Mytilus edulis: one gene and its partner. The protein of the gene in region 1 purifies or fractionates together with the protein of each later gene. This does not show direct contact. Links are inferred from orthologs where the notes say so. Each region holds a gene or a part of one and is shown in the gene's direction. Other genes may lie near its edges.

What was found.
Region 2: the proteins of transcription factor Maf-like (region 1) and ubiquitin carboxyl-terminal hydrolase 5-like purify together in Homo sapiens (affinity purification with western blotting; 3 studies listed by BioGRID, with this or other methods). This does not show direct contact. The link is inferred for Mytilus edulis from reciprocal best matches to the Homo sapiens genes MAF and USP5.

What each region holds. Positions count from the first base shown.
Region 1 is NC_092348.1:28,661,385-28,673,850, forward strand, and holds transcription factor Maf-like, read left to right. Parts: upstream 1-6,767; 5' UTR 6,768-7,067; coding exon 7,068-7,994; 3' UTR 7,995-11,957; downstream 11,958-12,466.
Region 2 is NC_092356.1:61,375,567-61,388,153, reverse strand, and holds the start of ubiquitin carboxyl-terminal hydrolase 5-like, read left to right. Parts: upstream 1-6,245; 5' UTR 6,246-6,410; intron 6,411-12,587. Other genes in the region: cell division cycle-associated protein 3-like, read right to left, coding at 6,073-6,099. UniProt on the Homo sapiens protein: Deubiquitinating enzyme that participates in a wide range of cellular processes by specifically cleaving isopeptide bonds between ubiquitin and substrate proteins or ubiquitin itself.

The sequences.
Region 1 (12,466 bases):
CACCGCCGATAAAGGACTGTTAGTTCATAAGGGTTTCCAGTATAGTCTATGTTACACCGCCGATAAAGGACTGTTAGTTCATAAGGGTTTCCATTATAGTCTATATTACACCGCCGATAAAGGACTGTTAGTTCATAAGGGTTTCCAGTATAGTCTATGTTACACCGCCGATAAAGGACTGTTAGTTCATAAGGGTTTCCAGTATAGTCTATGTTACACCGCCGATAAAGTACTGTTAGTTCACAAAGGTTTCCAGTATATATAGTCTATGTTACACCGCCGATAAAGAACTATTAGTTCATAAGGGTTTCCAGTATAGTCTATGTTACACCGCCGATAAAGGACTGTTAGCTAATAAGGGTTTCCAGTATAGTCTATATTACACCGCCGATAAAGTAGTGTTAGTTTATAAGGGTTTCCAGTATAGTCTATGTTACACCGCTGATAAAGGACTGTTAGTTCATAAGGTTTTCCAGTATAGTCTATGTTACACCGCCGATAAAGTACTGTTAGTTCATAAGGGTTTCCAGTATAGTCTATGTTACACCACCGATAAAGGACTGTTAAACATAAGGGTTTCCAGTAAAGTCTATGTTAAACCGCCGATAAAGGACTGTTAGTTCATAAGGGTTTCAGTATAGTCTATGTTACACCCCCGATAAAGGACTGTTAGTTCATAAGGGTTTACAGTATAGTCTATATTACACCGCCGATAAAGGACTGTTAGTTCATAAGGGTTTACAGTATAGTCTATATTACACCGCCGATAAAGGACTGTTAGTTCATAAGGGTTTACAGTATAGTCTATGTTACACCGCCGATAAAGGACTGTTAGTTAGTTCATAAGGGTTTCCAGTATAGTCTATATTACACCGCCGATAAAGGACTGTTAGTTCATAAGGGTTTACAGTATAGTCTATATTACACCGCCGATAAAGGACTGTTAGTTCATAAGGGTTTCCAGTATAGTCTATGTTACACCACCGATAAAGTATTGTTAGTTCACACAGGTTTCCAGTATAGTCTATGTTACACCGCCGATAAAGGACTGTTAGTTCATAAGGGTTTACAGTATAGTCTATGTTACACCCCCGATAAAGGACTGTTAGTTCATAAGGGTTTCCAGTATAGTCTATGTTACACCGCCGATAAAGGACTGTAAGTTCATAAGGGTTTACAGTATAGTCTATATTACACCGCCGATAAAGGACTGTTAGTTCATACGGGTTTCCAGTATAGTCTATGTTACACCGCCGATAAAGTACTGTTAGTTCACAAAGGTTTCCAGTATAGTCTATGTTACACCGCCGATAAAGGACTGTTAGTTTATAAGGGTTTACAGTATAGTCTGTTACACCGCCGATAAAGGACTGTTAGTTCATAAGGGTTTCCAGTATAGTCTATGTTACACCGCCGATAAAGGACTGTTAGTTCATAAGGGTTTCCATTATAGTCTATATTACACCGCCGATAAAGGACTGTTAGTTCATAAGGGTTTCCAGTATAGTCTATGTTACACCGCCGATAAAGGACTGTTAGTTCATAAGGGTTTCCAGTATAGTCTATGTTACACCGCCGATAAAGTACTGTTAGTTCACAAAGGTTTCCAGTATATATAGTCTATGTTACACCGCCGATAATGAACTATTAGTTCATAAGGGTTTCCAGTATAGTCTATGTTACACCGCCGATAAAGGACTGTTAGCTAATAAGGGTTTCCAGTATAGTCTATATTACACCGCCGATAAAGTAGTGTTAGTTTATAAGGGTTTCCAGTATAGTCTATGTTACACCGCTGATAAAGGACTGTTAGTTCATAAGGTTTTCCAGTATAGTCTATGTTACACCGCCGATAAAGTACTGTTAGTTCATAAGGGTTTCCAGTATAGTCTATGTTACACCGCTGATAAAGTACTGTTAGTTCATAAGGGTTTCCAGTATAGTCTATCTTCAATATGGTATATTATTTATATATCACGTGCGTTTCGCATTGTTAAGGTTTTTTTTTTACTTATTGACTGGCTAAGACATACGGTTTATTTAGTATATATAGATAGGTTATAAAATAAATATGAGAATTTGGATCAAATTGGTTATAAAGAATTATAATATGACGTTCTTCTTTAGCTTTGGGTACAAAGCCATGTTCTAATTCGAATAGAACATGGGCTGCACGTGATTGCCGTCACAATTGAAATTGCAACGTCAGATGAATTTTGAACAACGCCAGAGATCCAAATGGACATTTTTGTTGGTGTTGCTTGCTAGGAAATTAAATAAAAACAATCTAAAAGTAGGTTTAAATGTTTCTGTTTTTTTTCTTTCTTGATAAACTGTTGATTTTTCTATAACGTTTGTGTTCATCAAATCAAAATGGCGACATTTAGCGTATACTGTAGGTCCGCTTCGAAGTACAAAAGTACAAAAGTTCAAAATAGTCCTATTAGAATCGAAATAATTCTATCATGCCATGCTCTATGCTCATTTTAACATGGTAAGGCATTATATTTGTAAACATTTAATACCTCGCTAACGCTCGGTATTAAGATATTAACAAATATAATGCCTACCCATGTTAAAATGAGCATAGAGCATGGCATGAAAGAATTATTTCTTAATTTGACAGATACTGCCGCTTTGATATTGAATTTGATGTTTTCTCCTATTTCTAATGTAATACATTGTAGTACAAATACGATTGAGTGTTTATAGATAAGCAAAAATACTTATACACTGGTTACAAGAGCACATATATAGTACAGATATATAAATACCATTGACCGATATACAAAAAAGTATGTTCATAGTAAAATTAATACAATTATATAACTACGGAAAGTGTCCCTCTACATGGTATTTTCAAGAGATACGCTCAAGTTGACAGTTTGTTTTAAAAACATTTACTTTTCCAATTAGACACGAATTCCCCAACAAGGTTCCAGCCACACAAACCTGTTTTACCATAATTAATATCGTATTAATGAACAAATATATTATTTTGGGGGGATTATTTTTTGTGATTTTACTTTTTTCTTTGATTTACAACTAATGGGAAGACATTACTGATGATCGGCTGTTATTCCATGAAAGGGTAGTTCACCCAATATTCTATCTTTCTCTTTGATTTATAACATAGGGTTGAGATCACTGATTTTCGGCTGTTAGTCCATAAGGATATCATAATCATTCACCCAGTCTTTATATGTTTCTCTTTGCTTTAAAATCATTGGGTCGACACCACCGATAAAGGACTGTTAAACATAAGGGTTTCCAGTAAAGTCTATGTTAAACCGCCGATAAAGGACTGTTAGTTCATAAGGGTTTCAGTATAGTCTATGTTACACCCCCGATAAAGGACTGTTAGTTCATAAGGGTTTACAGTATAGTCTATATTACACCGCCGATAAAGGACTGTTAGTTCATAAGGGTTTACAGTATAGTCTATATTACACCGCCGATAAAGGACTGTTAGTTCATAAGGGTTTACAGTATAGTCTATGTTACACCGCCGATAAAGGACTGTTAGTTAGTTCATAAGGGTTTCCAGTATAGTCTATATTACACCGCCGATAAAGGACTGTTAGTTCATAAGGGTTTACAGTATAGTCTATATTACACCGCCGATAAAGGACTGTTAGTTCATAAGGGTTTCCAGTATAGTCTATGTTACACCACCGATAAAGTACTGTTAGTTCACACAGGTTTCCAGTATAGTCTATGTTACACCGCCGATAAAGGACTGTTAGTTCATAAGGGTTTACAGTATAGTCTATGTTACACCCCCGATAAAGGACTGTTAGTTCATAAGGGTTTCCAGTATAGTCTATGTTACACCGCCGATAAAGGACTGTAAGTTCATAAGGGTTTACAGTATAGTCTATATTACACCGCCGATAAAGGACTGTTAGTTCATACGGGTTTCCAGTATAGTCTATGTTACACCGCCGATAAAGTACTGTTAGTTCACAAAGGTTTCCAGTATAGTCTATGTTACACCGCCGATAAAGGACTGTTAGTTTATAAGGGTTTACAGTATAGTCTGTTACACCGCCGATAAAGGACTGTTAGTTCATAAGGGTTTCCAGTATAGTCTATGTTACACCGCCGATAAAGGACTGTTAGTTCATAAGGGTTTCCATTATAGTCTATATTACACCGCCGATAAAGGACTGTTAGTTCATAAGGGTTTCCAGTATAGTCTATGTTACACCGCCGATAAAGGACTGTTAGTTCATAAGGGTTTCCAGTATAGTCTATGTTACACCGCCGATAAAGTACTGTTAGTTCACAAAGGTTTCCAGTATATATAGTCTATGTTACACCGCCGATAAAGAACTATTAGTTCATAAGGGTTTCCAGTATAGTCTATGTTACACCGCCGATAAAGGACTGTTAGCTAATAAGGGTTTCCAGTATAGTCTATATTACACCGCCGATAAAGTAGTGTTAGTTTATAAGGGTTTCCAGTATAGTCTATGTTACACCGCTGATAAAGGACTGTTAGTTCATAAGGTTTTCCAGTATAGTCTATGTTACACCGCCGATAAAGTACTGTTAGTTCATAAGGGTTTCCAGTATAGTCTATGTTACACCGCTGATAAAGTACTGTTAGTTCATAAGGGTTTCCAGTATAGTCTATCTTCAATATGGTATATTATTTATATATCACGTGCGTTTCGCATTGTTAAGGGTTTTTTTTACTTATTGACTGGCTAAGACATACGGTTTATTTAGTATATATAGATAGGTTATAAAATAAATATGAGAATTTGGATCAAATTGGTTATAAAGAATTATAATATGACGTTCTTCTTTAGCTTTGGGTACAAAGCCATGTTCTAATTCGAATAGAACATGGGCTGCACGTGATTGCCGTCACAATTGAAATTGCAACGTCAGATGAATTTTGAACAACGCCAGAGATCCAAATGGACATTTTTGTTGGTGTTGCTTGCTAGGAAATTAAATAAAAACAATCTAAAAGTAGGTTTAAATGTTTCTGTTTTTTTTCTTTCTTGATAAACTGTTGATTTTTCTATAACGTTTGTGTTCATCAAATCAAAATGGCGACATTTAGCGTATACTGTAGGTCCGCTTCGAAGTACAAAAGTACAAAAGTTCAAAATAGTCCTATTAGAATCGAAATAATTCTATCATGCCATGCTCTATGCTCATTTTAACATGGTAAGGCATTATATTTGTAAACATTTAATACCTCGCTAACGCTCGGTATTAAGATATTAACAAATATAATGCCTACCCATGTTAAAATGAGCATAGAGCATGGCATGAAAGAATTATTTCTTAATTTGACAGATACTGCCGCTTTGATATTGAATTTGATGTTTTCTCCTATTTCTAATGTAATACATTGTAGTACAAATACGATTGAGTGTTTATAGATAAGCAAAAATACTTATACACTGGTTACAAGAGCACATATATAGTACAGATATATAAATACCATTGACCGATATACAAAAAAGTATGTTCATAGTAAAATTAATACAATTATATAACTACGGAAAGTGTCCCTCTACATGGTATTTTCAAGAGATACGCTCAAGTTGACAGTTTGTTTTAAAAACATTTACTTTTCCAATTAGACACGAATTCCCCAACAAGGTTCCAGCCACACAAACCTGTTTTACCATAATTAATATCGTATTAATGAACAAATATACTATTTTGGGGGGATTATCCTAAGGGTGTCTTCCTTGAATGCCAACATTTTATATGCTACCTATTCCTTGAATGCCAACAAAAATATTATATAAGAACAATAGGTGTTTTTATAACTATTTAAATGATTTTCTAAGTATTTAAATGTAAAAATTAATTAGAGAACTTGATAAAATTGCAACATTTTATCACTTTTTGTTAAGAAAATATAGTAGATTTGGGGGTTATAATTATCATGAATTCTAAAGAAATAAAGAAAATAAAAATATTTTTATTACTTTTTATTATAAAAAATATTTTGGGAATGGAAATGTTTATAAACATAAGACATATTTGGAAAAAAAGAAAGAAATTCTAGTTAAATTTTCTTCTTTTTATGCTATGACAAAAGTATGAGAACATAAAAAGTTTCGAGAAATTCCATTAAGTAAAATAGGAGGATATTAAAATACTTACACATAACTATAGAAATATTGAAAAAAAAGCATCAAAGTCCAAAGACTTAGTTTTTTTGTTGTTTTTTTTAGATATAAAGGGCAACCATTTTCATTAAATAAAAAATAGGGGGGTGATTTTTAAAAAAATACCCGGTCTTGGTTTGCTGTAGAAAAAACAAACTTGTCATATTATTACCAAATGTAATTAATATTCTGCAACACCAATTGCAGGAATCAAAAAACGATTTTCCGAGTTGGGCAAAAATAATACTCCTGCATCGACCTTAAAAAAACACACAATTATCGTCCTCTAATGCGCACTTGTATATTAAAAATTGTACAACTTCAATGTAGTTCCAGATGAATTATTAATATACACTTAAAAAGTTTAGCAAATTCAAATCATAAATATAAGTTAAAAGACAGCTGTTTGAACATGTTCGTTTCCCGCCATATGTCAAGGTATTGCACAACCTAGTAATCGTTTCTGTCAATTTTGTTACTCGTTGATATTTGTTTTTCTCTGTGCTGTAAAACGTTCAAGTGACATTAGGAAAGTCGGTCAATATTTCTGGTTCTAAAAATACAGCTTATACTTTGCATTGATTGGTTAACTTTTGCATCCATAGCTATTTTGGGATTTGACGTTCGACATAGTATAAAAGCAGCCGGGATTCCCCTTATTTGCTCGTTGTTGCCTGCTCTCGTTCAGGTAGTCGGTGGTTGTTTGCCCTTGGACCGCCGCTACATTTCTGAACAAAATTAAGGACTTGAATGGAAGAAGTGAGTATTTAAAGGCTCAAACGAACGTTTAATCTAACATTTACAACAATCTTGACAAAAATTTCACAAGAAAAGTGGTCTAAATACAAGAAAATTATCTCGATTCTTCTGACCTAATTTGAAACGAACACGAGGTGATCTGCCGGCCAGCTGATCAAATCCAATATGGAACCCGACCAACATCTTGCGAATGATTATATTACCGATTTCGACTTGGATCAGTTATTGGATGCTTCCGAAGTAAAGAAGGAAATAGAAGATAGGTATAGCAACTGTTGTAAACGAAGTGATGTGTCCTCGCGAAGTGGATCTTCAGGAGCGACCACACCTTGCTCAGATTTGAGTGTACCCCCTTCTCCAACTTACAGCGACGAGGTTCCAAGTCCTTCAGATAGTAATTCTAGTGTATTTAGCGGTCTTAACTGGCTTACTCAAAGTGTGTTTGAGACTGACATGAAATTAAAAACAAGCTTTAGCAATAGTCAAAAGTCCACACAAAGTCTGGAGGAAGAAATTGATGAAGATGTAGATTGTTTGATATCATCCAGTCCTGAATTTGTTCAAAACTTTAGTAAATATTTGGTTTCTGGTGCAGAAGCTGGGAAGCAATCATTAAGTCGTCGGGGCATGCTGGAGGACAAGGCAGCACCAACCAAAATTCCTTCAATAAAAAGATCTCTTAGTCATTCAAGTACAAGTTCAACTAAATCCAAAACAGAAGAAAGTCTTAATTCACTTGAAGATGAAGAACTAGTTGCACTACCAGTGAGAGAACTCAATCGTCGTCTTCAAGGATTACCTAAAGAAGATGTAGTAAAACTGAAACAAAAAAGACGAACATTAAAAAATAGAGGCTATGCTCAAAATTGTCGTTCTAAACGAATGCATCAACGTCAAAGTTTAGAGGTGACTAATAAAACATTAGAAAGTCAAGTTCGTCAACTTCAGAGACAGCAAGCTGTATTGATGCGCGAGTGCCGGTTCTACAAGCAGCAGTGTGAAATTCTCAGGGCAAAGTGCAGTGGTGTAAGTGTTAAACGTGACAGTGAAGGTTCTTTCTCAAGTTACCCAAGTTCTCCCGATTGTCAGTAAAATGTGTGAATGTTGTGTGAAATGAAAAAAAGTAATATGCTATCATCAATAAAACCTTGTCACTGCTTCATAGAACGTAATGAATAAAAATCCGTTAAAAATTATCATGACATGACCATGGATGGATTATTGACAAATACAATTAACATGATTAATAAGTGCATTATTTGTTAGGTGTAAATATCTTCAGAGTTTATTTTAACACAGTAAATAATTTTCTTTCATGTATGTTATTGAAAAAAGAAACAAAAATTAGAATATAGCCTTTATCACTTGTTTAACATAGTTCATATTTAATATCATGTTTGAAGTACTGGTCTTGTTGCCATTTTGCATAATTCATTATTGCCATGCATACATTGTTGTTGTGTAAATTTCACTAAATGTAGTGTAAGATAAATTTAGAGTATTGGATGAAAGAAGTTTTAAATTAGTAGTCCAAAATACATTGATCAACAAAATTCAAATCATGTTGATTTTTAGAAAATCAACTTTAGTTTATTTCCTTATTACATTTACAATGTACAAAATAACATAATCATGACAATTAACAGAAAAAAATAATAATAAAATACAAATATTGCATATCAGTTAGCAATTAACCACAAATTCTTAAAAAAAATCATATTTGGAAAATTTAAAACTATTGTTTATGCGAATGTGTATAGCTTTTAATGTTTGGTTCATATGGTGTCGTGTATCATATGGCTCACACTAATCATGTTATATTTTTGCAAGTGTGTAATTATTGTTATCAGTTTGTGTATACTTGTTGAAATTGATTAATACATATGAGTGATATCATATATATAAGAAAGTGAATGTTAAAATTTTATTAAATGCAATGGAGAGTAGAATATCAAATTGAATTTTTTAACCTATAGCCTGTTTCAAACAAGAATTTAAGTTATGAATATTACAGTATAATAATGGTGTATGTAATGATATTTTAAGGAGGTTTAACCAAATTGAGTTGTATGAAACAGGCTATAGGATGTTTACAATAAGGTAGAGAAAGGGAGAGGTTTGGATATATTATGGGACACACTGCAAGGGCAACTATTAGTTATAGTAATAACCAGTGTGCTCACCTATTCCATCTGTGATATATAGTTTTATCAGGGACTGCAAGTCTGGTTTTCAAGGTGCCACCCTTTACAGCTGGTGACATTGGATTTATTTTTTAAAAGTTATCTCCCCTAGATATTATTATTAAATGTGTCAGTTAGTAGGGGTGGTAAAATATATCATGGTCTGTCTGAACAACGTACACAGGCAATACTTGAAATCCAGATTTGTAGCCAAGACAAATCTAATTTGTTTGGGTTAACATATTTTTTTAAGTTAACATGGGGAGAGATTTTTACCGAGTTTGTAAGAAAGTTTTTACGATTCACCAGAACCCGTTAAGGAGCGATTGGTAGGATCTTATGTTTTTATAACGAATTTGCCAGAGTATTTGGACAATTTTTATATATATGTTGTTTTGAATTTGTAAGTGCATGTACATGTTTTACTCAAAGGGTTTGATATATGAACCCCCAAAAAAAGGAATTGTTAAAAAAAAAAGAGCTACAACAACCAATACAACAAAAATTAATAAAAAAAAAAATTTAAAAAACTCCTGGACTGTTGCGACTAAATGTAAATCATAGTGAAAGGGAGGCAAGATACTTAATTTGATTCAGATAATATTTGTTTGTGTAACAGATTTCTAAGTTGCAACAGTTTTAGGGCCAAAAAAATAGTAAAAGAAAAGAAAAAAAAGATATAAAAAATGTTGTAAGCCATGAAGCTTTGCGGAGAACCAAGCAGGTTGCTTCCAAAGTAAAATCTCGAATTTGCCAGTGAAAAGGATGACTCTTGAATTTATAAACTTATGAAGCAGAATGGCTTGCCTTTCTGCATTGTTATTTAAGTGGTATTGTAAAGCAGTTAGGAATCAGCTAATCAGGAATGAGGTAGAGAAAAGTATTGTTTTTAATCGCATGCCTTATTTGAACTTTACAAATAAAATATTTATGCCCTGTAGGTGTATTAATTACCCCAAAATAATGACTATTCTACAGGTCTTCTCATTTATATATGTAAGCCAATATACGATCCATTAACCAAGTTTTTATATTCTTTTTATCCATCAAAAGATGTGGCCGTGACTGTTAGAAGTTTATTGAATGGTCACACATTGGATATATTTTTAATGTTTATTGATTATGATATTATTTCCCTACATATTGATCAAAGGCAGCACCACATGGCTTTTAATTTCAGTTAATAAAGGTGTGGTATAAAAAAGGGGGGTTGAATTAGGCTATGGTGCATTATTTTTTAGAGAGATGTAATTTTAATGATTTTTATCTATTCCATGTTGCATCCAACTACATGTAGTAAAGACATATTAATATTCGATTTTTTTAACAAACAGAAATTGTTGATAGGGCTTTAAGTTACATAATGGCATGTTTCATAGCGAAAATTCAATTGTAATGTAGATTTCCACACAGTATTATGAACAGACCTTGTAAGGAATATGCTAGAACAGGCATATCAAAATTTCTTTCAAAGTTATATTGACTAAATAACTATATTTTGTTGAACCATGTGTTGGTTCTCTGATATTGATTTTAACGTTTGTTTGTACTGTATTTACTTGGGACAAATCTATTTAAATTTCCTCTCTAATTTCTATTGACATTTTTACTTCACTGAACAAGGTAAATGAGAAACCTATCTATTTGAGAAATACAAAAGTTGAAATTATTATAAGCAAAGTAACTTTAACACCTATATAATGACCTACAAATAAGGAATTCTTAGATGTTTTGTTATTTTTCTGTATGAACAATCCTTTGTGATAAATGAAATATTTTTTAATCCATTTTGATGTGCATTTTTAATGTGTTCATTGGGATATATATATATATATATAATATATAACTGAAATACTAATGAAGTTAACCCATGAATATGGAATCGTTTTAATACTTTTGAAACTTGCAAATCATTTCTTGAATGTTTTAACAGTCCTGATAATTGTTTTAAATTGAGGTTTTTAATTTAAATCCCTCAGGAAAAACTAGTGTGCCAAATTTAGCTAATTTGGAAGTTCAAATTACTGACCCAGGGGCCCAGAGGTTCAACTTTTATAATAAAATATTGTCTTAGTTGAACTGGCGTGTTCATTATAACAATTTACAGTCTTTCATATTGAGTCTTAATAGAACTGTATTCTGATCAAGCTTGTATTGTTAATTGTTACAATTTGTTGATTGTTTTGTTTCTGAAATCTTGTTATTGGTTATTGTAAAAATTATACTTATTATTAAACTTGGAAAAAACTGAATATTTGTGCTGTGTCATGTTTGCAGGGGAAATGTGATAAAAAAAATAATAAAAACTGCTCCCTTCATATGAAAATATAAATACGATCATACTCATTGAATCAGATTTTTTTCTTCAAAATTTGAAAATTAAAGCATGTTATCCACTAATATCAGCCACGGAAAGAAGTTATAATTTGTGGTTTAAAACTGATTTAAAAGTCACATTTTCCCCTGCAGATTTATTTAGTTTTTTCTATGACAATTTGCAGCTGAGTTTTATGTCAGAAATGTTATGAAATTAACATGAAAGTTCAAGAAACGTGCAGAAAAAAACTTTCATATTGGTAAAACAAGTATTACAAAATTATTATTTATGTAGCATTTGTGACTGATTAAACCTTTTTTTACGGTCGACTGAAAACATTTTATCAAGTACATCAGGTTTGTGTGGTTAGAACTCAGCTGCAGATTGCCTGTTAAGAATTGGCAATTGGCTGTAATGAGATTTGTATTGTATAATTAAAAACAGTTGACTTTAATGTGATAAGGAAAAGTGCTGGTTGTTTGTTACTATCTGCTTTACAAATACATGTAAAATGTATAAATTATGAAGCAAGATTAAAAAGCATGAAAAAAATTACTATAGTATTTTATTTATTGTCTATTATAGTCACTCAGTGTTGAGATATGGAAAACAGATGTAGTTTTTTACTAAAGAAAGTTCAACAATGTTAATGCATATGCCTGTTCCAATAGGTCATTGGACTAGATTATGCTTCTATAGGTTACTTAGACGTGTCAAGATATGCTTGATCGAATTTGTAAGGTCATTCTACTTATGAACAGATATGCTGTTAATGTTAATTGGACAGCAAGTTGACAGAAAAATTGTATCAAAATAGACCTATGATCATCAACAATGGACTAATGTCAGCATTACATGTATAATAATCATCCAAAAAAAAGAGAGACCATTTCAACAAAGGGGGACCATTGTTTGACTCCCACTTAATTTTTTTGAACTGGTGCATTGTGGGTAGCTTTTGCCTTTGTTTTATGCATTTAAATAGACCAATAGTTCTGTGTACTTGCAAGCCCAGGTCCCAGAAAGCATTTTAAATCATCATGAAACCAGAAAACTGGCACTAC
Region 2 (12,587 bases), on another chromosome or scaffold:
TGTATATACAATTAAACTCTTTTATTTGGAAATCAAATTATAAAATAATGGCAAAAATGACTTAAAATGATATTTTTCACGGCCAAAGTGGTAAATGGCTGAAATGAACTAAGTTAGAGCTATCAACAATGTATACTGGCTCCAATCCATGGCCAATTTGCCAAATTGATTTTGGGACTGCTTCATTCAAGTTCTGGCTATGCCCAGAAAGTCCTATCATGGGACTGAAAAGTTGGTTGATTCAGAGATTCGACTGACAAAATGACTGAAGTACACATTTAATCTTTTTTTGCTCTCTACGCTAGGAAATAGGAATAAAATGACTGTTAACAATGTCAATGAATATAATCTTTTCTTCAAAGCCTTATTCATCATAAAAAGGTTTTTCCAAGATAATTTTATAAATATATTTGAAAATAAAATATGGCATAGTAATCAATTATCATCTTTCATTATGGACTTTTACAGTTCTGACATTTGACCTTACATTGTGCTTTCCACCATACCTTTTTTGACAGACTGATACACCTTATAGCTATTTGAAAATCTCTCACACTTGACACAAGAAGCTTTTCCCCCCTAACCATTTGAAATCACTTTTACATTATGTTGTCAGAAATTTTCTAAAACAACATCAAAATTTTAAGTGAGCCTTTTGTGATGTCCAGTCAGTCAGGGGTACTTCTTGTACAAGTTATTTTTAATTACTTGAAGAAGTAATATTAATATACTTACATGTATACACATGGAAAAAAGTATTGCAACACCTTGATTTTTAAAAATTTGAAAAATCAGCCTCTTTTTTTGGATGAAATATAATAAAATATTTGTATAATATTATTGAAACATAGTTTATGATAACATTGGCATTGAAACAAACAAAAAATGTTTGAAAAAAAAAAGATTTATATAACCACAATTTTAATAACAAAATGAAGTGTTTTTTGTACAAAAAAATGCATTTTCCAACTTTTACTGTAGTCGAACTTTACAATGTCAGACATTTCAAAATTAATCTTCAGATGACTGTTCACATCATGGTTGATCGTTATACGCCAAATAATTAGTACTTTGTGCGCAGCCTCCATTCAAACGGATAACCGCATCTAAACGTCTCCTGATTCTTGCCAAAAATCGACTTATTTGTTGCTAAGGTAGCAGCAACCATTTCTGATGAAAGGCATTGTTTATTTCATTATGTGTTTGAACTGGGGTGTCCTTTCGCGCACGTTCCGCCCAATAGTGTCCCATATATGCTCGATATGGTTCAAATCCGGGCTACGATCCGTCCAAGGAAGATGAACCGAATTCCATTGGAACAATGGATCTTCCTCAACGATGCTAATTTTCAACTTTAGCGAGCTCTGCACTACATTGGATACGGAAAACTGTGTGTCTGTTCGTAAGCAAATGTATCCGAAATGGTCTTATCGCACGATAACCAGTAGCGATGAGTCGATCTCGAACAGTTCTTGTTAAAAGGCTCCTGTATGCCCACCACTCTCTTTTTAGAATTGTATTGTATGCAATGGGTTTCCTTCTGACCAACCTTCATTATGCTTGATTTTCCCTAGCAAATGGTATAGGGGGTCTTCTTTATCCATGTTATCTCGGAAGGTCTTTAACATTGTTTAGTGCCTTATTTTTATTCTCAAAACGACTTATAGTGGAATGGTGATGACCAAAAATACGTGCAGTTGTTTCAGCGACATCCCTGCTTCTCTCATGCTGATAATCTGCCATCTTGCTGCAGTTTAGAGTTGTAGAGGACTCATTACAAGGTGTCAATCACATAACTTTAAAAACTTGGTTATTTAAAGTGTTGAAAACAATGAGGATGAAAACATCTGTTTTGCTGTTTACGGGTACAGTAGCTGCATGTGCAGATAAAAACTTATCGAATCGATATTTATTGATTAAACTCAGGTGATACTTAAATAATGTTTAATTAGTTCTATTTTACCAAATTATATCACAAAAAAATAAAAAGTGTTTTTTTAATTTCAATTTCAATTTGGTGTTGCAATACTTTTTTCCATGTGTATATATAAGTAAACCCAGGTTTTTTCCAACCCTGCCCCAAGGAGCAATTTTTGAAGGCCTTGCGCAAGTACTTAAGATCTTTGCGCAATCAGATTCTTTAATAATCACCTATTTAAGTAGTACAAATTAATCACTAGAAGAAGTGATTTAATATTAGTGTAGCTTTAGCATGTTTAGATATAGAATACTAATGATCCAGGGACTAATTATGTTTCTAAACTTATCAGAACCAACATCTGTGTTGTCTAGGATGACCAGGTCATTTCAGGTGATGACCTTGTACTGAATCTAGGATAATGACATAAAAATCACTTGTTTAAGTACCAGACCTCAATTTCCTTCCCAAAAATCACTTCTTTAAGTATCATTCTTTTAATAACCCCGGCCCCACTAATTTCAACACCCCCGAACAGTGAAATTTTTATCGCGAACAGTAGAATTTTATTACATAATCTGAAAGATGAAAACCTTGAACTTCACAGGAAAAATACTCCCACTGCTGGGAAAAATCTGTTAAGAAAGTATGAGTTCATTATGTAAAGCCATTATTATAGCATTTTTTCAACTAAAATAGAATTTTCAGGTAAATGATAGCATCAAAGGCATAAACCTTGCTACTTAAAAGAAGCAAAAAGTTCATATTTTTTAATTTTACTAATTAAAAGATGTTATTTAAACCTATGTGTTTAAAATTTTTAAAAAACTACAAAATCCAAATTTGTGACAAAACCTCGAATTTGCTACTCAAATACAAGTGATTTAAAAATCACTTATTTCAGTATAAAAAAAATTGAGCAAACCTGGGAAAATCATTAAACATGTTAAAGGCATGAATTTACATCTCAAAACTTGAGGACTTTTGTGGGATTGTAAGAAAAATTTACTTTTGAGAAAATTAAGGGGAGATTATTCAAACATCATTTATTTACTTATATGTGTACTAGAACACACCCGTGATATCACGGGTCCGTGACTGAATTAAAGTATATATAAGTATGCGCAAGCCTTATTTTAGTATTAGTATTGTCATATGATAAAGTCATGTCGATTATAAGATACACAGTTTTTCTCTGCTTTCAAGTCTTTCTGTTTGAACCCGTTGAACTGTAACTTATCAGTTATTGGTAATATTAATTATTTGGAAAACAAAAGGTCCTGGAATGGAGTATTTTTCAATCAACAGCATTGTCCTATATAAGTTATAAATAAAGTTGAATTCTCTGCTTTGCTGTTTTACGTCATGCCCACTAACAAATTGAAAACTGTACCTATACGCCTTATTTTTAGTCCAGATTTTTAGTATTCGTATTGTTATCTTAGAAAGTCTTACTGATTAAAATACTACAATAGGTAACAATTTGACAATTTGGTAGTGTCAACCCTGTGGTTATGACCCGTGTATATAGCATATTAGTCCTGAATACAACGTTTGGTGGTGCGCCTGTCAGATGCGGAACGTACAGATAAGGTAATAGGTAACAGGTGAATATACTATTGGTATTGGTAGCGGACTCGAGCCGGAACTTCTTAATTATTGGCAATATTAATTACGTGGAAAACAAAAGGGCCTGGAGTGGTGTAATTTTTAAACTACACCTTTGTACTATATTTTATATATAAAGTTGAATTCTGTGATTTGTCGTTTTTACGTGATGACGGCTGACAAATTATAAGATACACAGTTTTTCTCTGCTATCAAGTCTTTCTGTTTGAACCCGTTGAACTGGAACTTATCAGTTATTGGTAATATTAATTATTTGGAAAACAAAAGGTCCTGGAATGGAATATTTTTTAATCAACAGCATTGTCCTATATAAGTTATAAATAAAGTTGAATTCTTTGCTTTGCTGTTTTACGTCATGCCCACTAACAAATTGAAAACTGTACCTATACGCCTTATTTTTAGTCCAGATTTTTAGTATTCGTATTGTTATCTTAGAAAGTCTTACTGATTAAAATACTACAATAGGTAACAATTTGACAATTTGGTAGTGTCAACCCTGTGGTTATGACCCGTGTATATAGCATATTAGTCCTGAATACAACGTTTGGTGGTGCGCCTGTCAGATGCGGAACGTACAGATAAGGTAATAGGTAACAGGTGAATATACTATTGGTATTGGTAGCGGACTCGAGCCGGAACTTCTTAATTATTGGCAATATTAATTACGTGGAAAACAAAAGGGCCTGGAGTGGTGTAATTTTTAAACTACACCTTTGTACTATATTTTATATATAAAGTTGAATTCTGTGATTTGTCGTTTTTACGTGATGACGGCTGACAAATTATAAGATACACAGTTTTTCTCTGCTATCAAGTCTTTCTGTTTGAACCCGTTGAACTGGAACTTATCAGTTATTGGTAATATTAATTATTTGGAAAACAAAGGTCCTGGAATGGAATATTTTTTAATCAACAGCATTGTCCTATATAAGTTATAAATAAAGTTGAATTCTTTGCTTTGCTGTTTTACGTCATGCCCACTAACAAATTGAAAACTGTACCTATACGCTTTATTTTTAGTCCAGATTTTTAGTATTCGTATTGTTATCTCAGAAAGTCTTACTGATTAAAATACTACAAAAGGTAACAATTTGACAATTTAGTAGTGTCAACCCTGTGGTTATGACAAATTGGACCTCGTAACTTTAGTATTATAGATATCTAACACGAGAATCTGTTCCGCTTGAACTATTGTCATCATAGAACAATCACTTTTCCATTAATATTTTTGTAGCGTCAGATATTTTGTATTACATTTACATGTATGACATCAAAATTTTACGGGAACATGTGTGATGTTTACATGGTTTAGTAATGGCAAACAAATAGCGATAAGGTGTCTTGCTTGCTGGTGTGTTATTAGGCCGGAGAGGGCTGTGTATGACTATACATGTACATGTGCTGTGTGGTGATTTTTATTAATTTCTAAGCAAATGAAGCAATTGTGCCTATTATTGAAGCACAAACTGGGATAGCCTGGGTTAAGACGCTGTGGCAAATGAATTTACAATGCTGCAGGGGTCAAAATTAACTTATAAAGGCCAATAGCCAGCAGGGCAATTTCTGGTCGCCAATGGGCAACCATAATTTAATTTTTTTCCCTGTTATTGCACAATAACGTTTTTGACAAACTGATATAAACGGTTGTATTTTATACCACATCGAATTACAGACAAAACCTGAAGCATTCACTAGTCTATATTATGCATGATAAATATATAAAGTAAGGTGCCTAAAAATTTAATACATTTTATGTTTCAGAACACTCATCCATGTAGCTGCGGAACCGTAGCTCTTAGGTCCTATGTTATTTTTTGACTATTTGCGGACCGCAAAATCAAAAAAAATTAAAAAAGGACCATAAGAGTTACGGTTCCGCAGCTATCATCCATGAATATTAGAAAGATTATATATATTTTGGGGTACAAGTTAGTCAAATCGGCACCCATAGAAAAACATAAAGTCATCAAATACACCTTATCGCTATTCCCGGCTGACCCGTCCGCTTGAACTTTTGACGTCAACAACAATCACTTTTCCATTGTGGCGTCAGACATTTTGTTTTATGACGTCAAAATTTTACGGGAACCTGTGTGATTTCCAGCAATGGCGGACAAATAGCGATAAGGTGTATTGGCACCTGGTTAAATCAGCATCTAGTCAAATTGGCACCTATTTAAAGTCAATTCGGCATTCTTGACAATCGTTTAGGTGGAATAACATTTAGTTGAGAGAGAAAAATATATACATTTTTACATAATAGTTAATACTGGTAAGATATATGTAAATCAAATATATTTTACATGTTTAACATGGGTGCCGAATTGACTATATCAATCTTCAATAATAGGCACAATTGCTTCATTTGCTTAGTTATATCAGGTGCCGATTTAACCAGGACTGGTGCCGATTTGACCAGGTGCCGATTTTGACTATTTTACAATTCATATTTTGGTGGGTTTTTTCCGTTTCTGTATTAATTATAAAAAAATAAGTTTGCAAGATGTTTACGTCAACTTTTAAACCTTTGTAGTGTAGTTTGCATAAAACATCAAATCACAGAGAACTCTTGAATCTCTTCTGTTTAAAATTTTTAAACAAGTGTGTTTACCTGCTTTTTGAAGTTCCCGCTCTGTCCAATCAAAAAGCACGATAACAAACTTTAGGGAAAAAATAAAACCTACGTTAAATGTGCTCCGATTGGATAATAAGAATAAGATCCCTTCTACGTTTTTGAGAACGTAGTTCAATGATACTTGATTCTAAATTCAAATTGACGCTGCACTAATAAAAATCAGCAATTTTCCAGAAGGATTTTTGTAAACGCCGGTTGCCTCTTTTATCACATTTGTACATGTTACAGGTATGATTATGCAAATTCTCGACCCAGTGTTTATTACTGATACTTGAAAATCACACAGAAACCATAATATATTCATTTACGAACTAGTTTGTATCTGTATATTCACAAATTATATAAAGATTGATGAATCATCATGATAATAATTAATATGCTTTCATGTTGTTTTAGCTAAAGTCTGTTGGGCTCATAATTTCAGTTGACCCTGCCCCAATTAACATAACTATTCATTAGTGGCAAGGTTTCGGTGCAAAATATAGTTGACATGCATTTTGTGTCCAGACACAACGATAAATTACAAATATTGAATATGATTATATATAAGGGAGCTACCATTTGATTTTTATGGGAGGGCTAGGATGAAAAATTTTGTCCTACATTTTTTTTTAGCTGTAATCTATGTCCTGCCTTTTTATTTTTCACTCTGTTCCGTCCTGCCTTTTTTTTTTTTAGTTTATCCTGACTTTTTTTACCTAAATTGTGGTCCTGACTTTTTTTTTTTTGCAAGTGTCTCATCCTGCCTTTTTTTTTACTCAAAACTCCTGTCCTGCCTATTTTTTTCAAATTTCATCCTAGCCCCCCCATAAAAATCAAATGGTAGCTCCCTAACAAACAAATGGAATACAAATTTAACGCTGTTTATATTTGTACTCTTTTAAGTGAAGCCCCCATTTATACTAATTAAAAGTCTATATAGTTTATAATTTCCTAGATCGATGTGGGGCCAGATCGACGTGTGCCGGATCGACTTGGGACGGATCGACATGGGGCCACATTGACTTGGGGCCTGATCAGTTGGCGCCGGAATGACCGGATACCAAACATTTCGATCTTCTCTGTCTCTATCCAATTAGCGTTAGTCATGTCGTCATAATTCTTTACGTATTGCTTGGGATTTAACATTACTCTTAGCATAATTTCATGCTTGCATCACAGCTGAAGATTGACCAATCAGATAATTAGATTGTGTTTATCTATTTGAATATTGGAGTTGAAGCGGTGGCAAATCCTCGGGTTTTACCATATAAAGGTACACAAACTTAAAACTCAATTTAATTTTTGTTGAATCATTAAAATTGAATTTGAGATCGTTTTTTCAAATCTCCTTATCATATTAGACATGTGTTATAAAAATCTTTGTGATACCTTTTACCGTTTGGTTTTAAATTGTAATTAAAAATTGTATTTTCCCATAGAGTTTGAGGTAAAATCCCGAGAATTTCACCTCCTAGAAATTTAAAGTGCCAGGATGTTCGAAAATATGTAATTAAAACGAAAGTAAGCTGGTAAAAAAAGATATAGAAGCATTTTTGGGATACGATTGCTTTCAAGCAATGTGTAGACTTATACTGGTGGCTCAGAGCATTTCCCTCACGTCAATCGTTTTATTCTAAACATCAAGGAACATCTCAGATTCTTATGATTGTCTTGCTTTAAAAGGTAAAAACAAACAAAGGGATCGAACTTAAACAACTTTCCTATATTGTTCTTTTCATAATCTTCATGTTTGATAATTCCCTTGACTTATATGCGTGTTTTTAACAACACGGAAAATCAGAATTAAGCAGTATTTATATTTAGTGTACAATGTATTTATAAATTTAGAAACACGTCAGAGGGAATTACCAGTTTTGGTAAAATGCTAGAATTGTCTGAATTCTGATAAATCTGTTTCTGTCATATAAGAACTGAAGTGCAGTTATAAAGCTGATATTTGAGATTGTACTTCCATAAAGAAATAGAGAACCATCTAGGTCGTTTAATAAACATTTAATATACGTTCTTGCTTCAGGGTTTGTTTAGGAAATTATGCACATACGTATATAGTTTTCTTGACTTCAAGGTATTTTAGATTGAATGGTTGAACCGGTAGGCAAGTAATTGTTTCTAAATTAACAAGTCCGACCAAGTAATAATTGCTATAAAGGTTATTTATGTTTTGCTAATATTATATTTCATGTAAAATAAATTTTTAACAATTCGGGGCATATTGAATATTTGGATAATTGGTGTAGATTGCATTTCACACTAATGTTACAACTTCCCTTCAATTGTCATTGAAAATTTATTAAAAATCCCTAATTCTTTCATTGTCGAAAAATGCAACATTTATTTGCATAAGCTTAAATCTAAATGCGAGAGAAATGCAATGTTCGCCAAGCATTCTCCTTTTCCGTATTTTCCTACAATATACAATACGAACTTATGTTTTAGCAGACAATTTATAGTAAACGCATGAAAACATGTATCTCTATTTTTCCGACGTTACTTTTCATTAAAATCGACAGCATTTTAACGGGGATCACTTAAGTAAACTGCCACATAAACAATGATTCAAATGTATCGGTTCGCTTCAAATAGAAGCAGGATAAGTATGCGTTATACTGTTTTGTATTGATATAGTAAAATGGTCGACTGTAGGACAAGTCCTTTTTCCAGCACTCGAAAAAAATAAACATTGTGATTCAGCCGACAAAAAACTGTTAAATTCAATCAATTACTCTTAAGTCATGGACATATGGTGTAAAAAATTGTTAATCAGATATTCCTAATATATTTTTCGGTATGTTCATTTTTAGTTTGTATAAACAACTGTTAACGTCATTATCGAACTACGTTTTTACGTCTATATTTTCCCGGACCATTGCACTTCAGTGTATGGAACCACGTACTTTAGCGTAGATTAATGTGATTATAACATGCTTAAATTCAGTATCGTATTGATGAAAAAATACAATAGGTTCAGGAGCTTGGTGGTGAAAAACCCAATTTGATATTTGCTTGAGGGGTGAATTGGAATTAATAATATAATTGAAAAACTACTTCACTCAATTAAATAAAAAAATAGTGGGTAAAAACCCCAATTTGTGAATTCTTATCTGGAGCTCTGTCAAAGTCGAACCAAACATCAGGTAAAACGCTTGAACCATTCTAAAAATTTGTTAAACATGACCATGATGACCTAGGTTATATGGCTAATTACAACAGAGAGTGCAAATATATGCTTTAAATAAAAATAATAATGTGCAATATGAATTAGCACATTTCTAAAACTTTAGCTTTATGATGTTATGAAGAACGATTGCGTCAATAAAAATTTCAAATAAACAGCACTGAATAATCTTAATTTGTAAATACATGGAATAATTCAAATTTGACAACGGTAGAGTTACAGCAGAGTCTACTTTATTAAACATCGCAAACAAAAGGCCGTTAAAATATAATAATAAATTTTGACTACGGTTAACTAGTTGAACGTGGCTTGGTACTTTTATATCCCTCAAAAAATCAAGCAATTTAAATTGGTATTTATATTCATCATTATTTTAAGATGAGTAAGGTAAGGTAAGGTAAAGAAATAGAAACAGAGACTGTAATAATATATAATATATATACCCAAATGTGAAGCACTACACAAAGTCTAACTACATCTTTTCCTTTATCCCATTTGGTGCCAAAGTTGTTAATTTTCTTATCCAAAATCTATCCTGAGTGAGTCTATCCTCCCTAGACCAAGCAGAGTTGTGGTCAATGATTGTAATGCTCAGTCGGTTGAGATCTGCCTTAGTGTGGCCAGGGGATCTCAAATATCGACTGAGAGGGAGGTCTGGCTTGCATTGGTAGTTGCTACGATGACTGTTTATTCGTTTGTGAAACAGCTGTTCTGACTCACCAACATACTGTTTACCACATGTACACTGTAGGAGATGCACAACATTTAATTTGTAGTCTTGCAATTAACATTGCAAAATATGGTGTATTCTGTACTAGTGGAGTAGGCAAGTCAAGAGATGTTCCGAAAAGTGTAAATATTACCTTTTTGCACCTGGCCTAATCTCTCTTTCCATATCAAAATCTGTTAAAATAAAACATCCAAAAGTTTATTTCAGCTCTCTTCTTTAATTTCCACCCAAAAAAAACTAAGAAATTTATGAGAAAGGGGAAGAATAAAAATAAAAAAACAATACACTATAATTAATTGGAACTATATTCTTGGACAATGAAAAGCGGGATCATTAATTGTGGTCTTTGGCCACTAAGCAGTTTGACAAACACATAATTTTTTATCATTGAGAAGCTTAATATTTCCTTAACAATACACCATGATTAAAACGTTTAGCTGATTTTACAGAGTTATCTCCCTGTATTGTTATGTTCCACCTTAACTTGGCTTAAGGAATGACAGTTATATTTTTTCTGTCTATGAAGAAATAACATATAAAATGTGGTGCATACTGAATAACCTGTGTAGAGAGTAATTTTTAAGTATGCACCACATTTTTTATGTTATTTTCGAATAGACAACAAACATTAATACAGTCATTCCTTACAATTTAGTTCAAAATTCCATTAAAAACATGAGTAAATCAGGAAAAATCTTTCATGACGTCACTGTCACATGACAAAATTGAATCCATGACAAATCGCCCCACTGGCAAATCGCCCCACACCTAATCGCCTCACTTTTTCACAAACTTGCCCCACTTTCTATAAAATTGCCCCACTCTTGTTTACCAACTCGCCCCACTTACGAAAAAGGCTAAAATTCCATTGCAAATAGGTTGGATAACATGCCCCTCTTTTGAAAAGAGTTAAAATCCCGCTGACATAAGGTCTGCCAACTCGCCCCACTCTTAACAAATAGATAAAAAAAACACGATGATTTTATTGGTGCCAACTCGACCCACTTATGAAAAAAGATACAATCCCGTTGTATATCTATATATGTCCCTGCCCCACTTCAATACCCATGAAAACAGTGAAGTGCTATATATCAAACTGCTGTTAATTGAAATCCTGCAATTGTATGATTATGATTCAATTAACAGGTTTTTTTTTCAATTGTTATACAAATAACTAAGCATACATGTATAAAGTTATTCTCCAATAATGATACGAAAATGTATTTGCAATTATATTTTAAGACTGTTAAAAATCATTTCATTTAAAAAAATAACGGTTAAATAAATTTCGTTTTTTGGGGGTATTCTGTGACAGTGTAGATTAGTTTTCATTTAAAAAGTAAAAACACAAAAATACTGAACTCTGAGGAAAATTCAAAAAGGAAAATCAAAAATCAAAAGGCAAAATCAAAAGTCCAAACACATCAAACGAATGGATAACAACTGTCATATTCCTGACTTGGTACAGGCATTTTCTAATGTAGAAAATGGTGGATTGAACCTGGTTTTATAGCTAGCTAAACCTCTCACTTGTATGACAGTCGCATCAAATTCCATTACATTGTCAACGATGCATGAACAAAACAAACATACTCAAAGAGTAAAAATGTCAAAAATAGGGGTACAACAGTCAATATTGTGTTATCATCTTAATATCACTACATAAACAACAAATGTAACAAAGTAGCACAAAAAGGCATACATCAAATTTAACATTCTCATTTTGCTTTTCTTATACGGCTGAATTTATCTATGTAAAGTCTACCCATAAATGAAAGAAGGTTTTCATTACTGGTGTAAAATTGCGCGTTTGAAATTCGCACAGGTAGACATAAAAATAATTTTGTCGTATGACGGCATACATAAATGCAGATTCACGTAAAGTAGATATAACAAAAAACAGACTTGCAGTAAAAATAATAAATAAAATAATGGTGTGGTTCAAAGTATGACGGGACACATAAGTACAGTTTCACGTCAAATACGGCTGAATTTATCTATGTAAAGTCTACCCATAAATGATAGAAGGTTTTCATTACTGGTGTAAAATTGCGCGTTTGAAATTCGCACAGGTAGACATAAAAATAATTTTGTCGTATGACGGCATACATAAATGCAGACTCACGTAAAGTAGGGGCTAGTTGGAGTTGAAAGGGGAAACATTAACGGGATTTAACCCTTTTCATAATTGAGGCACCGGATTTTTTAAAAAGTGGGGCGAGTTAGTAAACCAGTTTGGGGCAATTTTTTTAAAAGTGGGGCGATTTGGTGTGGGGCGTTTTGCCAGTGGGGCGATTTGTCCTGCTTCCACAAAAATTATATCTGCGCTGATAAACAAAACACTGTCTTTTAAAGTTTATATAATTACTATAAGCATCAGCATGATCACATTTTGTATAAAAAAAGATGTGTTTTGATTGCCAATAAGACAACTCTCCTCAAGAGACCAAAATGACACAAAAATTAACAACTATACATGTAGGTCACCATACAGCCT